Linked DNA regions of Sus scrofa. The protein of the gene in region 2 purifies or fractionates together with the protein of the main gene of each other region. This does not show direct contact. Links are inferred from orthologs where the notes say so. Each region holds a gene or a part of one and is shown on either strand. Other genes may lie near its edges. The genes, in order: STUB1, AGO1 and TNRC6A.

What was found.
Region 1: the proteins of AGO1 (region 2) and STUB1 purify together in Homo sapiens (affinity purification with mass spectrometry; 3 studies listed by BioGRID and IntAct, with this or other methods). This does not show direct contact. The link is inferred for Sus scrofa from reciprocal best matches to the Homo sapiens genes AGO1 and STUB1.
Region 3: the proteins of AGO1 (region 2) and TNRC6A purify together in Homo sapiens (affinity purification with mass spectrometry; 10 studies listed by BioGRID and IntAct, with this or other methods). This does not show direct contact. The link is inferred for Sus scrofa from reciprocal best matches to the Homo sapiens genes AGO1 and TNRC6A.

The regions. Positions count from the first base shown.
Region 1 is NC_010445.4:41,092,562-41,096,933, reverse strand, and holds the start of STUB1 (E3 ubiquitin-protein ligase CHIP), read left to right. Parts: upstream 1-1,752; 5' UTR 1,753-1,872; coding exon 1,873-2,031; intron 2,032-2,523; coding exon 2,524-2,722; intron 2,723-2,810; coding exon 2,811-2,976; intron 2,977-3,313; exon of another isoform or gene 3,314-3,455; coding exon 3,456-3,543; intron 3,544-3,695; coding exon 3,696-3,752; intron 3,753-3,839; coding exon 3,840-3,956; intron 3,957-4,033; coding exon 4,034-4,159; 3' UTR 4,160-4,372. Other genes in the region: uncharacterized protein LOC100524737, read right to left, coding at 340-503, 623-775, 955-1,114, 1,271-1,364, 1,437-1,564. UniProt on the Homo sapiens protein: E3 ubiquitin-protein ligase which targets misfolded chaperone substrates towards proteasomal degradation.
Region 2 is NC_010448.4:92,065,337-92,069,608, forward strand, and holds part of AGO1 (protein argonaute-1), read left to right. Parts: coding exon 1-70; intron 71-1,143; coding exon 1,144-1,338; intron 1,339-3,478; coding exon 3,479-3,613; intron 3,614-3,835; exon of another isoform or gene 3,836-3,961; intron 3,962-4,225; coding exon 4,226-4,272.
Region 3 is NW_018084874.1:603,137-607,408, reverse strand, and holds part of TNRC6A (trinucleotide repeat-containing gene 6A protein), read left to right. Parts: intron 1-889; coding exon 890-1,032; intron 1,033-1,429; coding exon 1,430-1,576; intron 1,577-1,743; coding exon 1,744-1,881; intron 1,882-2,353; coding exon 2,354-2,482; intron 2,483-2,894; coding exon 2,895-2,972; intron 2,973-3,229; coding exon 3,230-3,440; intron 3,441-4,272.

The DNA.
Region 1 (4,372 bases), on a different chromosome or scaffold from region 2:
CTGAGCCTTTTTGGAGAATGAATAAATATTTTACACAGCGTCAGGCGGCTGTACTAGGGCTCCGAGGGATGGTCTGGTCTCCTCTCAACTTGCTGAGCAAACTGCGAGGGCCCTTCCTTCCACGTGGGCCGCCTGGGCTTCCCCTCTTGCTTCTCTGCACCTGTCGTGAGCTGCGTCTGTGAGAGACGGGCCAGACGGGCTGGGGAGGGACTGTGGGCCTCACAGGCAGGTGTGAGTTCAGCAAGCATTTATTGGGCTCCTACAGCAGCCAGCCTCTGGCCCAGAGACTTGTGCCCTGAGGTCACAGAGCAGGTGAGCAGGATCTGGGCCACAGCCAAATCAGTCGGTCTGGGTCCGGCGCTTCTTGGCTGGCCTGGAGTCCTCGGGGGCGGCTGGGCTGGGACCGAGGTCGGGCAGCAGGTCAGGGCACAGCTTCTGCCCTATAGCCCAGGTCCACAGGGCTGTCTCCACACGATGCGGGGTCCACAGCCCTGAGGCACTGCCTAAGGAGGGGCAACAGGGAGTCTGGGGCCCAGGTCACCCTGCTCTGCTGGGAAGCTCTGCACCCTCCACCCTGACCAGAGTCCTGAATGCCCTCCCTCGCTGCCAGCAGTCTCCTCACCATGGCTCAGAGCTGTGGCTCGCTCCTGCACCCGGCTCAGGTACAGCAGGTAGTGCTTGAGGGTGTACTGCAGGGCTGGCAGACCGGGCACCGCGGCCACTGCCTCCTCAGACATGAAAGCTGCCACCTCGGGAGCTCCGGCAGCCAAGACCGCTATGGGCAGCAAACAGCCAACACTCAGGCCCCACCAGCCTCAAGACACCTTCGGGGCTGCCATTCGCAACAGCTCTTGGTGTCATGAACGTGGCCATCAGGCGATGTCCCAGGCAAATGTACTAACAGACCAGGTTCCGCCCGCGACCCTGCCAGGGCGCCAGGCTCTCCCGACTAACCCGAGGCCGTGGCCGGGCCCACGCCCCGCAGGGCGCGTAATTCCGTGACCGCGGCGTGCATGTCTGGCAGGAGGGGGAAGGCGGCAGCCGAGTGCTGCACCACCAACTCCGGGGCGTTGGCGCTGACGAGCTGATGCAGGCGCGGCCTGAAGCGGCCCCGCTGGTCAAGTCGGGGTGGGGGTCACGGGTGCTGGACCTCGCTAGGGGCCCCGCCCCACAGCGCGAGGGCCCGCCCCCGGGCGAGCCACGCCCACGCCCACACCGCTACGCCCCGCCCCGGAAGGAGGCCCCGCCCCCCAAGTGGGAAGTTCCTCACAGCCAGCTTCCAAGCCAGCAGCTGCCCCAGCTCTTCTCGAGTCACGTGCTTCTCCTCCCGGCCCTCGATGGCTGCGGGCAACGCCTCTCGATACCTGGAGAAGAGCTGTGACGGCGACTCCGGGCCACGGGGGTCCCCCGCCCACCCGATGCCCCTATCACCCTACCATCGGTCCAGGGCTTCCAGCCGCCCCTGGGGGCCCGCGCGCGCTCGGAGCACTTCCCCGTGGCGGCCCAGGACGGCGGCCCAGAGGCTCGGGTCCTCACAGCCCCAAAGGCCGCGGGCCGCCGCCATGTCCACGCGCCGGGGCAGGGCTTCGGGGGCGGGGCGCCGGGGCGCCGGGGTGGGCTTCCGCCCCGACGACCTCGGCTCTCCTCAGGTTGCCGACGCCGCGCGTCGAGTCGCCGCGAGCGCACGCTCCCTGCCAACCCCGCCCCCGCGGCGCGTTGGGGGCACGCGAGGCCCCGCCCAACCGCACGGCCGGAAGTTCCGGTGGCAGAGCGCAGGACTGGGCCCGAGCGGATCGCGGGCTCGGGGTGCGGGCGCTGGGCGGGCCGGGCGCGGAGCCTGGGAGCGGAGCCCAGGCCGTGCCGCGCGGCGCCATGAAGGGCAAGGAGGAGAAGGAGAGCGGCGCGCGGCTGGGCGCCGGCGGCGGCAGCCCGGAGAAGAGCCCGAGCGCGCAGGAGCTAAAGGAGCAGGGCAACCGGCTCTTCGTGGGCCGCAAGTACCCGGAGGCGGCGGCCTGCTACGGCCGCGCCATCGTGAGTGCGCCCGGGCCGCGGGAGGGGGCAGGCGTCGGGGCCGGAGGAGGGGCCGGGCCGGGCCGCGGCTTCGGCCCCGCGTCCTCCCCGGAGCCCCTGTCTGGCCGCCCCTACCGGACTTTCGGAGGGGATGCACTTCGGCTCTGAGGACTGAGTGATCTTCTCTCAGAGAGGCCAAGGCTACGGCTCCCGAGCCAGGGTTGGTGGTCAGAGAACTGTGGCGGGTGGGAGCTTCAGGGTGCTTGCAGCCCACTGGGCTGGGGGTCCAAGCCCAAAGCTGGGGATTTTCAGGAGTCTGGGAAACCTGTCTTCGCAAGACTCGTTGGAGTCGAGGGGGCGGGCTCAGGTAGGCTCCACCCTTCCTCCGCGCCCAGAGACCTGGGTGCTGAGAAACCTCTAGTGTCTTGATTCCAGCCGTGGGTCTCAAGCTAGGACAGAAAGGGCAGGCTGAACTCACTCCCTCATGTTGGCTGGTCCGGCCTTGGTCCCCAGACCCGGAATCCCTTGGTGGCAGTGTATTACACCAACCGGGCACTGTGCTACCTGAAGATGCAGCAGCACGAGCAAGCCCTGGCTGACTGCCGGCGCGCCCTGGAACTGGACAGCCAGTCTGTGAAAGCACACTTCTTCCTGGGGCAGTGCCAGTTGGAGATGGAGAGCTATGATGAGGCTATTGCCAACCTGCAGCGAGGTGGGCTTGCTGGCTGGCCTGTTCCAGGGTGCCTGGGACCAGGCGGGGGGACTGGCTCGAGGGTTACCCGGATCCTTTGTTCCCCCAGCCTACAACCTGGCCAAGGAGCAGCGGCTCAATTTTGGGGATGACATCCCCAGTGCTTTGCGCATTGCCAAGAAGAAACGCTGGAACAGCATCGAGGAGCGGCGCATCCACCAGGAGAACGAGCTGCACTCTTACCTCACTCGACTCATTGTGGCTGAGCGTGAGAGGTGGGCTGTGGTGTTCATGGGCTCCACCCCACCTCCCAAAGTCACCATTCTTTTTTTCCTTGTTTTTTTGTTTTCGTGTCTTTTCGCCATTTCTAGGGCCCCTCCTGTATCATGTGAAGGTTCCCAGGCTAGGGGTCCAATCGGAGCTCTAGCCGCCGGCCTACGCCAGAGCCACAGCAATGCGGGATCCGAGCCGTTGTCTGCGACCTACACCAGTTCTTGACAACGTCGGATCGTTAACCCACTGAGCAAGGCCGAGGTTCAAACCTGCAATCTCATGGTTCCTAGTCGGATTCATTAACCACTGAGCCATGACGGGAACTCGCAAAAGTCACCATTCTGAGTCGTGAACATAAGCGTTTATTGAGGACCAGCCTGGGAAAGCAGGAGATGAGGGAACAGGGCCTGAATCGGCCCAAGGTGGAGTCTGATCTCCTCTGGCCAGACCCATCTCTGATCAGCTGTGTGGTCCACCCCAGGGAGCTGGAAGAGTGTCAGCGGAACCACGAGGGTGAAGAGGATGACGGCCACATCCGGGCCCAGCAGGCCTGCATCGAGGCCAAGCATGTGAGGGTGCCCTGCCCACGTGTGGGTCCTGTGTGTATTTGCACGTGTGTGATGTGAGGTGACCCTGGCTCCTGTTGGGTCTTTGTGGGCGGGGTGCCTGGGGAAAGGCGACAGGGGCTCAAGCTTCTCTGGAGCTGCCTGGTTTTTTGTAGGATAAGTACTTGGCAGACATGGATGAGCTCTTCTCCCAGGTGGATGAGAAGAGAAAGGTAAGCTGCCTGTTCCCTGGGCCCTGTGGGTAGCAGGAGCCAGGGCAGTGCCCCTTCCCGCTCCTGACCTGAGCTTGGGTGCTGCAGAAGCGAGACATCCCTGACTACCTGTGTGGCAAGATCAGCTTCGAGCTGATGCGGGAGCCGTGCATCACGCCCAGTGGCATCACCTATGACCGCAAGGACATTGAGGAGCACCTGCAGGTAAGGGTCCGTAGCCGCTGGGGGCAGGGCCCACACCCACTGGGCATCTTCTCATTCTGATCCTGTTGCCACTGCAGCGCGTGGGCCACTTTGACCCTGTGACTCGGAGCCCCCTGACCCAGGAACAGCTCATCCCCAACCTGGCCATGAAGGAGGTCATTGATGCGTTCATCTCGGAGAATGGCTGGGTGGAGGACTACTGAGGCAGGGCAAGTGGGTGGGCCCCTCACCCACCCTGCCCAGTATCCTGGCTTCTTGGGAGGGCCTTGGGGCAGCAGCCCCTAGCCTCTGTACATAGTTCGTGTCCCTGGATCCCCACCCTGGTATCCCCAGCCCCAGCCCCACCAGTTCTGCTGGGCCATGAGGCTCCCCCATCCTCCTGTGCCAGAAGCGGCAGGTGAGGGTGGGCCAGGCCG
Region 2 (4,272 bases):
AGTGATATTCCTGGGAGCGGATGTTACACACCCCCCGGCAGGGGACGGGAAAAAGCCTTCTATCACAGCAGTGAGTGATACTTTTCAACTTCCTCATAAGCTTCTCCTCTTTGCTCTGAGCCCCCAGGACTACACATGATTTCCTTCCCTCAGCTCTGGCACTTGAGCCTTCACAAGATCTTTGTATTTCAGCTCATCATTTCCATTAACCACTCCTTTGGTAACTTAATAAAACTAACTCTGTTTGATGTCTTCTTTTCAAAGAGAGCAGTGAGAGTGTAGCCTGTGGCCAATGACTTGGCCTCATCTCTGTCACTCTTTTCTGTGTTTGAGTTTCCTTCTCTCTGTGCCCACTTTTGGGATATGGCTACTACCATATCTCTTCTCTGGAATCCCTTTTAAGGGAGTTATTTGGTTGTTGGGATTGTCCTTTACTCTTCCCCATCCCTACCCCTGATCCATTTAGTAGATTAGATAACTCTCCATTTGCTCTCCTGACTTCTTTGCTTGCTGTCTCATAGGAGCTTCTGAATTGCTAAAGGGCCCAGGCCTTCTTTTTACTTCTCTTTCCTCATGTTTCTCTAGGCAGACTGGGCCTATCTCAGTAAATGCAGGGTAACCCTATACTTTGCTTACCTTTACTTTCCTTGTGGCCATTCATCCTGGGCTGTGGCCACTGTCCCCTTAGAAAATAATATTAATGTTTGCACCACCCTCAAGAAGCCTTTTCACTATGGTTCCTAGGGTAGATTAGCACTTGAATTAAAACTTGTGTTTCGATGAGCTCACTCTTTGAGTTAGTAGTGCCAAAGCTTCACATGCCTCTACAAGGGGTAGGAAAATCAGACTTATCGAGTACCTATTATGGGATAGGCCCTGTATAAGGTGCCTTCTGTATACCACAACAGCACTGCAAGTAAGTAGTATTCTTAACTCCATTTGAGAGGAGAACAAGAAGATCAAAGTAAGTAATTTCCATATTTGTGATAGTATAGATGTTGAAACCAGGGATTATTGAATGCAGAAAAACCCACTCATTTGATTGCATAGTTTTCTTAATAAGAAGCCTTTTCCCAAACCCACAATCTAACATGCTGGGAGGGTGGAGGTTCTAGGAGCTGATCCTGTCCCTTTGATTATCAGGTCGTAGGTAGTATGGATGCCCACCCCAGCCGTTACTGTGCTACTGTGCGGGTGCAGCGACCGCGGCAGGAGATCATTGAAGATTTATCCTACATGGTACGTGAGCTGCTCATCCAGTTCTACAAGTCCACCCGCTTCAAGCCTACCCGCATCATCTTCTACCGAGATGGGGTTCCTGAAGGCCAGCTCCCCCAGGTAGGGCCCACAATAGGAAAAGGAAACCTTCACATTGAGGCCAGGGGGCCAGATGGTAGTAGAGTACTGCTGCCTTTTCTAAGCTTTTGGTACTGGGAGGTACTGCTACTTAGGGAGGGAGATTAAGTGGAATAGACTTGGAAGCAGACATGACAACTGAGAGATGGTGTGTACAATCACCGATAGACCTTTCTTGTAGTAGAAGACCCTCCTCAGTGCCTTTTTACTAGTTCATGTTGAAGACTGATTCTTCAGACCAGTGGTTCTCAACTTTGGCATCCATCAAAATCTTTTGAAGGGCTTATTAAAATAGACTGTAGGGCTCTATCCTTAGTTTCTGATTCAGTGAGTCTAAGATAGGACCCTAGAATTTGTAGTTCTGACAAGTTCCTGGGTGATGCTGCTGGTCTGCAGGCCACATTGCTGAAGGTCAGTGCTGTTGACCTTCCTTCACAATGTTCCTCCAATCCTTTCTCCCTTCTGTTGTGTAGCTACTATTCTGAAGTGGTCTCCTTGACTACTATTTAATAAATAGTAATATAACTATCATTTATTGGGTATCTCTTATGTGCCATGAACTGTGCTAAGCATTTTGTATGTGTTCTATTTAATGCCTACAATAGCCCTATGAAATAATAATAATAATTACTATTCCATTTGATAAATGAGGAAACTGAGGCTTGAAAATGTTAAATGATTTCTTCGGTGTCACTCAGGGTAATAAGTGGTGGAACTGGGATTCAGACAAATTAGTCTGATTCCAAAGTCTATGGTCTTGACACTATGCTAAATTTCCTCAAAGTTATCCAGTATTTCCTAAAATACCAGAGAAATTTATCATAATACGTCTGTGTTCATAAATGTCTAGTGACTTCATATAGCCTGGGGTTAAAATTCAAACTACTTAGAAAAGCAATCACAGTTATTAAGCCCATACTAGGTTTTTTAATGCTTTCTCTTAATAATTTATTTTAGTCTTCACAACAGCTTTGTGAGGCTGAGCTTATTGATAACTATAGTTGATATGGAGAAAATGAGACTTAAAAGGGTTAAGTAACTTGGTTGAGGCAATACAAGTAGATAAAGTTTGGGTTTAAACCTAGTTCTAATTGATTCCAAATATTATTAACTTTAGCCATACAGTTTTTACTCCCTGTATCTGACATCCAAGGCCACAAGGCAGCTACTGCCTACCTATGGTTTTTCACCTGTGGTAGCTAGTCCCTCTTCTTATAATACTGCTTTTTTGTAGAACTGAGTTCATCTAATCCCTCTATACCTATTTCTGAACTGTGTATTTGCTCCTCTATGGTGGTCCCAATGCTGTATGCTTTTAGAGCTCATGAGCAACTCACATTTTCCTCTTGATTCTGAAATTGACCTTTCTGTGGGCATTATGATTTCTCTGTAAATCTTGGTTCTGTGTCTTGATGTTAGGTTTCATTATGCATAGGAACCAGGTAGTGTTCTCTGTTGATACTAAGCCTCCAAGCTAAGGTTTTATAGGAACATGTCAGGTGAACTGTCTACAGGCATACCTTATTGTGCTTCGCTTCATTATGCTTCACTGATATTGCATATTTTTTACAAATAGAAGGTTTGTGGCAGCCTTGCATCCAGCAAGTCTATCAGCACTGTTTTTCCAATAGCTCACTTCATGTTTCTGTGTCACATTTTGATAATTCTTGAATATTTCAAACTTTTTATTATTATTTTATTTGTTATGGTGGTCTGTGATCAGTGATCTTTGGTATTACTATTAAGATTCACTGAAGGCTCAGGTGATGGTTAGCATGTTTTAGCCATAAAGTTATTTTTAATTAAGGTATGTACATTGGAGTTTTTTTTGGACATAATGCTACTGCACACTTAAATAGACTCTAGTATAATATTAATGTAATTTTGATATCCACTGAGAAACCAAAAAATTTTTATAGTGGTCTGGAACTGAACCCACAACATCTCCAGGGTATGCCTGTATAAGGCTAATTTTGGCAGGAAGGGCTCGTCATGTCTAATGGTTGGGTGTCAGCTTATAAAGGGAGTCTGAACAAAAAGCCATATTACAACCCCATAGAAAGATGTGTAAACTCAAGAGGAGCTCTATGTCTCTTTGTCTCCCTCCTCACCCTGTGCCTAGATCCTCCACTATGAGCTGCTGGCCATTCGTGATGCCTGCATCAAACTGGAAAAGGACTACCAGCCTGGGATCACTTATATTGTGGTGCAGAAACGCCATCATACCCGCCTTTTTTGTGCTGACAAGAATGAGCGAGTGAGTGAGGGATTGAGGAAGCCACCCATACCCTCGACTTGTCTCCCTTCTCTAATAAGGAAGAAGCCCTTGAAATAAAATCTGAGAATTTAGTCCTTGGCCTGTCCTTCCTCCCTGGCCCCTTTCTTCCCCTTAGCTCTTGTGGTCCTTCCTCTGCCACTTGCTTCCCTTTGTTTCCCCCTTCTCCCCTCCTTCCCTTATACTTCATCTCCCTCCTCCTAGCTCCCTGGCCTATAGACCCCATATATAGACCAGCTCCCAGAGAAGGGAAAGGGAACTGCCATTTATTGAACTTCTCCTATGTGCCAGACACTGTACAAGGCGTCTTCCTCACAGCAGCCCTGTGAGGTAGGTACTATTATTATCTCCAATTTAACCTTAGAAAGGTTAAGTGACTTGCTAAGATCACACAGCTAATAAATGGTGAAAGCAGCAGTTAAACACAGGTCTGTGTAACTTTAGAAGCCTGTTATTTCAATACCCAATACCCTCTGGGAATAGCAACTTTCACTTTACTATTGGGATTCTGGTGGCGTCAGATTAGAATTGAGTTGGGGCCCTGGTTAGGGCCAGGCAGGTCTTGGGATCTTGGTTGTCTTTGTCTCTATACAGATTGGGAAGAGTGGTAACATCCCAGCTGGGACTACTGTGGACACCAA
Region 3 (4,272 bases), on a different chromosome or scaffold from region 2:
ATAGGCTTCCTTTTTCTCCACACCCTCCCCAGCACTTAACTGTTTGTGGACTTTTGGATGATGACCATTCTGGCTGGTGTAAGGTGGTGCCTCATAGTGGTTTTGATTTGCATTTCTCTAAGAATGAGTGATGTTGAACATCTTTTCATGTGTGTTTTGGCCATCCGTTTGTGAAAGACTGAGTCCTTGAATGTCCTGTGTACATCCCAGCATTGAGGAAGCACAAAGAAGTGTTCTCAGCTGTGGAGGGAGGAGAACCCAGAATGGGCCTTTGGTAAGGATGTGGAGGCAGAGAGCTGTGCCCACTCTTTAAAGACTTGTCTAAGTAGGATGGTAGCCCGGGAGCTGGCTGTTTCAAGCAAGGATTTTGCAGGACGGAGGGTTTCCATGAGAAGAGGTCATCCTTATTGCAGAGATGTCAGAATGAGGAGAGCAGAGCAAGCCCTGAGAGAGGGGAAGATGTTTCCCATCTGCTGAATGGAGTATGAAAGTAGAGTCATAAGCATTAAATTTGAATGCACATTCAGAATGTGCATGACTGGTATGCTGTAAGCACCTACTAGATGGTGGTTTGTCCTGATTGTGTTTTTGTTATTTGTTTCTGGAAACAACGTTTTTATGATAAAAGTAAGCAGATTAGAGATGACCAAAGATGTCTTATAACCTTCTATTTATGAGTCTCTTTTCAAGTTAACCAGTGCAGTAAAATAACAGTATCTCGTAAACACAACTTGTGGGGAATATAATATTTACTAAATACTAATGCGTTTTTCATGTCTTTGTCAAGGCAGAAGTCATTTCCGTATTTTTCATTACATTGTAAATTTACCTGAAACGGACTAGGTTAATTATCTTTCTACTTGATGACATAGTCTCCTGCATTTATTAGGAATGTTACAAGACAAACGAATGGAGATAGATAAACATAGCCTAAATATTGGTGATTACAATCGAACGGTCGGGAAAGGCCCTGGTTCTCGGCCTCAGATTTCCAAAGAGTCTTCCATGGAACGCAGTCCTTATTTTGATAAGGTAAATTATTTGTTTGTTTTTTGTTTGTTTTACCCCTGTGGCTAAGAAAGGAATACTCTTAATAGCATGATTTTTTCATTAATATTTTAGAACATTTAATACAATGGAAAACGTTATAGTCCAGTGCCAGCTCCTACTACTGGATTCGTAGTTCTTTGTCCTTTTATGTCTCAATTGAGCCTAGGGATTGTGTTTATATTTTCCTCTTAATCCCATAAAATATGTTTGGTTCTTTTTATGTACTCTAGAATTAACACTAATCTGATCTCTTCTGTTTTCTACCTGTTTCCTGTTGATGCTGGAATGTCATGTGACTTCTCTTCTGTTCCTGCAATGATTTCTCCCTTCCACTTGTTTGCTTGGCTGGTGTTGCACATCTTTCTGTCTGTCCAATCAGGATGGCATTGTAGCAGATGAATCCCAAAACATGCAGTTTATGTCCAGTCAAAGCATGAAGCTTCCCCCTTCAAATAGTGCACTACCTAACCAGGCCCTTGGCTCCATAGCAGGGCTGGGTATGCAAAACTTGAATTCTGTTAGACAGGTAAGTCCACGTGTGTATTTTAGGCTCTCTGTTGAATGATTTGTAGAAGTAATAAGATCTCTCTTACATGTAGTTGCTGTGTTTAAGTCAATATTACAGTGTGCTAAAGAAGTGTTTGTCCTTGAAGAATCCCAGTGTTATGTGGTGGTTGTTGTTGGTTTTCGTAGAATGGCAATCCCAGTATGTTTGGTGTTGGAAACACAGCAGCACAACCCCGGGGCATGCAGCAGCCTCCAGCACAACCTCTCAGTTCATCTCAGCCTAATCTCCGTGCTCAAGTGCCTCCTCCATTACTCTCCCCTCAGGTAAAAAAGAAACGTCCACTGTATTCTTTTCTGTTTACTTGGTGGAGAACTTTGAAGAAGTTTATATTTGAATGAGACCACTGGGTTGATCAACGTAGTATTGGTTGGAAACTTTGAGATACACCTGATCCTGAATGAGTTATTATTACAACAGGATGGAGGTAGGGTGCAGAAAATTTACCAAAGATAATTTAAATCTCAGATGTATTCTTTTCATACAGAGAGGAGGAAGAAGATAATAGCAAAGTAAATTGACCGGCTTAAGATTCATTTCTGCTATGTTTCACTTAAGCTCATGAAAATACATGTGAACAATAAATTAGTGAAGTCAAGAATAACAATTAGAAAGAACACAACCCCCATAATAGTTGACAAATTTCATTGGTCTCTTGATAGTTTAAAATACTCAGTATACATTCTGTTGGCTCGATTTATTTTATCAACATTATTAACTTACCGTTGTGATCCCAAGGTTCCAGTTTCATTGCTGAAGTATGCACCAAACAACGGTGGCCTGAATCCGCTCTTTGGCCCTCAACAGGTAGCCATGCTGAACCAGCTATCCCAACTAAACCAGCTTTCTCAGATCTCCCAGTTACAGGTATACATTTATTGAATGTCTTCTGTCTGCTCAACACTAGAATCTGTGCGGGAGCTGTTGCGCTAAACAAAGCGGGCACAGTCGTGGCCCGCAGTCTGTGAGTGGAGACCGTGAACTCAAAGGGCGGGGTGCTGAGTGAGCAAGCCCGGCCAAGGCTGGGGTGGTGGTGGGGGTGGGATGACTAGGAAAACCTGCCCTGATGAAGTGGAAGTTTAGATTGAGCAGAGGACTGAATTCACCAGCGTGGCTGGAGGCCGGAGGGTCCAAACAAGAGATCGTATTAGATGAGGCAGGATATGCTGGCATTGACGAGATGGCGCCATGCCTTTGTAGGTACCTCTGCCACAGCCACTCGGAAACTAACTAGTCTGATGATGGGATACTGACTGACCTTTTTAAATCTTCCCCCCAGCGATTGTTAGCGCAGCAGCAAAGGGCGCAGAATCAGAGAAGCGTGCCTTCTGGGAACCGGCAGCAGCAAGACCAGCAGGTAGATCTGATCCTTCCCCGTGCTTCACTTACACTCAGCTGAGGTCACTTCCATGGTAACAAGAGATTTGAAGTACTTCTATTAAAATATGAAAAATACTCTTCAGTGAGTCTTCTGTCTGCCCCAAGGTCTTCATTGGTGTACAGTGATTATTCACCTTCCTCCTGAGAAGGAAGTGAATTCAAAAATGAAGAGGAATTCGAGTGTCTGTAAAGGCTTTTCTCCACAAATTTTCCCAATCATCTTGTCGTTTCAAGGGTCGACCTCTTAGTGTGCAGCAGCAGATGATGCAACAGTCTCGTCAACTTGATCCAAACCTGTTGGTGAAGCAGCAGACTCCACCATCTCAGCAGCAGTCACTCCATCAGCCAGCCATGAAGTCTTTCCTTGAAAATGTCATGCCCCACACTACACCTGAGCTGCAAAAAGGGCCATCACCAATAAATGCTTTCAGCAACTTCCCTATAGGTGGGTTTCTCCATGGCCAGAGCATCTGGCTGGTGCTTGGCCATCACAGGTCTACATGCTGCTCTCTTACCTGTCCAGGGCTGTTCTTTACCTGCTCCCTCTCTGCTGTCTTTGTGCTTCAGGAAGACCAGTCTCTGTTCAAGAAAATCACGCTATTTCAAAAATTCCATGCTCATTCGAAGTGGGTTAGAATAAAGATGTTATTTCTTTCCAAGGCTCAGATATCTTCATTGTAGCGTATGAAGAGGACAGGAGGGCTAAAATGACGTTACTGTTCCAGTCACATCTGAGTTTCCCTTATTTGTTTAAATATTTATTTATAAATGATCACCGGCATGAGTGTAGAAAATACAGATAAGACAAGGGATTGCATTTGCAGTGACTTGCCCCCCTCCCTTTTAAAATTGTGTTTCCAGGAGTTCCCGTCGTGGCTCAGCAGTTAACAGATCTGACTAGCAGCCATGAGGATGCAGGCTCGGATCCTGCACTGCTGTGGCTGTGGTGTAGGCCAGCACTTACAGCTCCGATTCAACCCCTAGCCTGGGAACCTGCATATGCCATGAGTGCAGCCCTAAAAAAGTAAAACTATGTTTCCAGGCTTTTCGCTCCCTCTGGGAATTTTAGGCTTACGTGTCTCCTTCATCCTTAGGCCCTTTTTCCTATGCCTTTGAATATATGTTGACCTTTGATTGTTCATATTCTTCTACTCATTTTACTTTTCCCCTTTTCCTTACCATGCTTTCATATAAAAATCCGTCTTCATGGGTTGCTAGCCCAATCTTGTTGAAGACGATCGGTTAGCCAGCATACTCTGGGCTATAGGCAGGTGTTA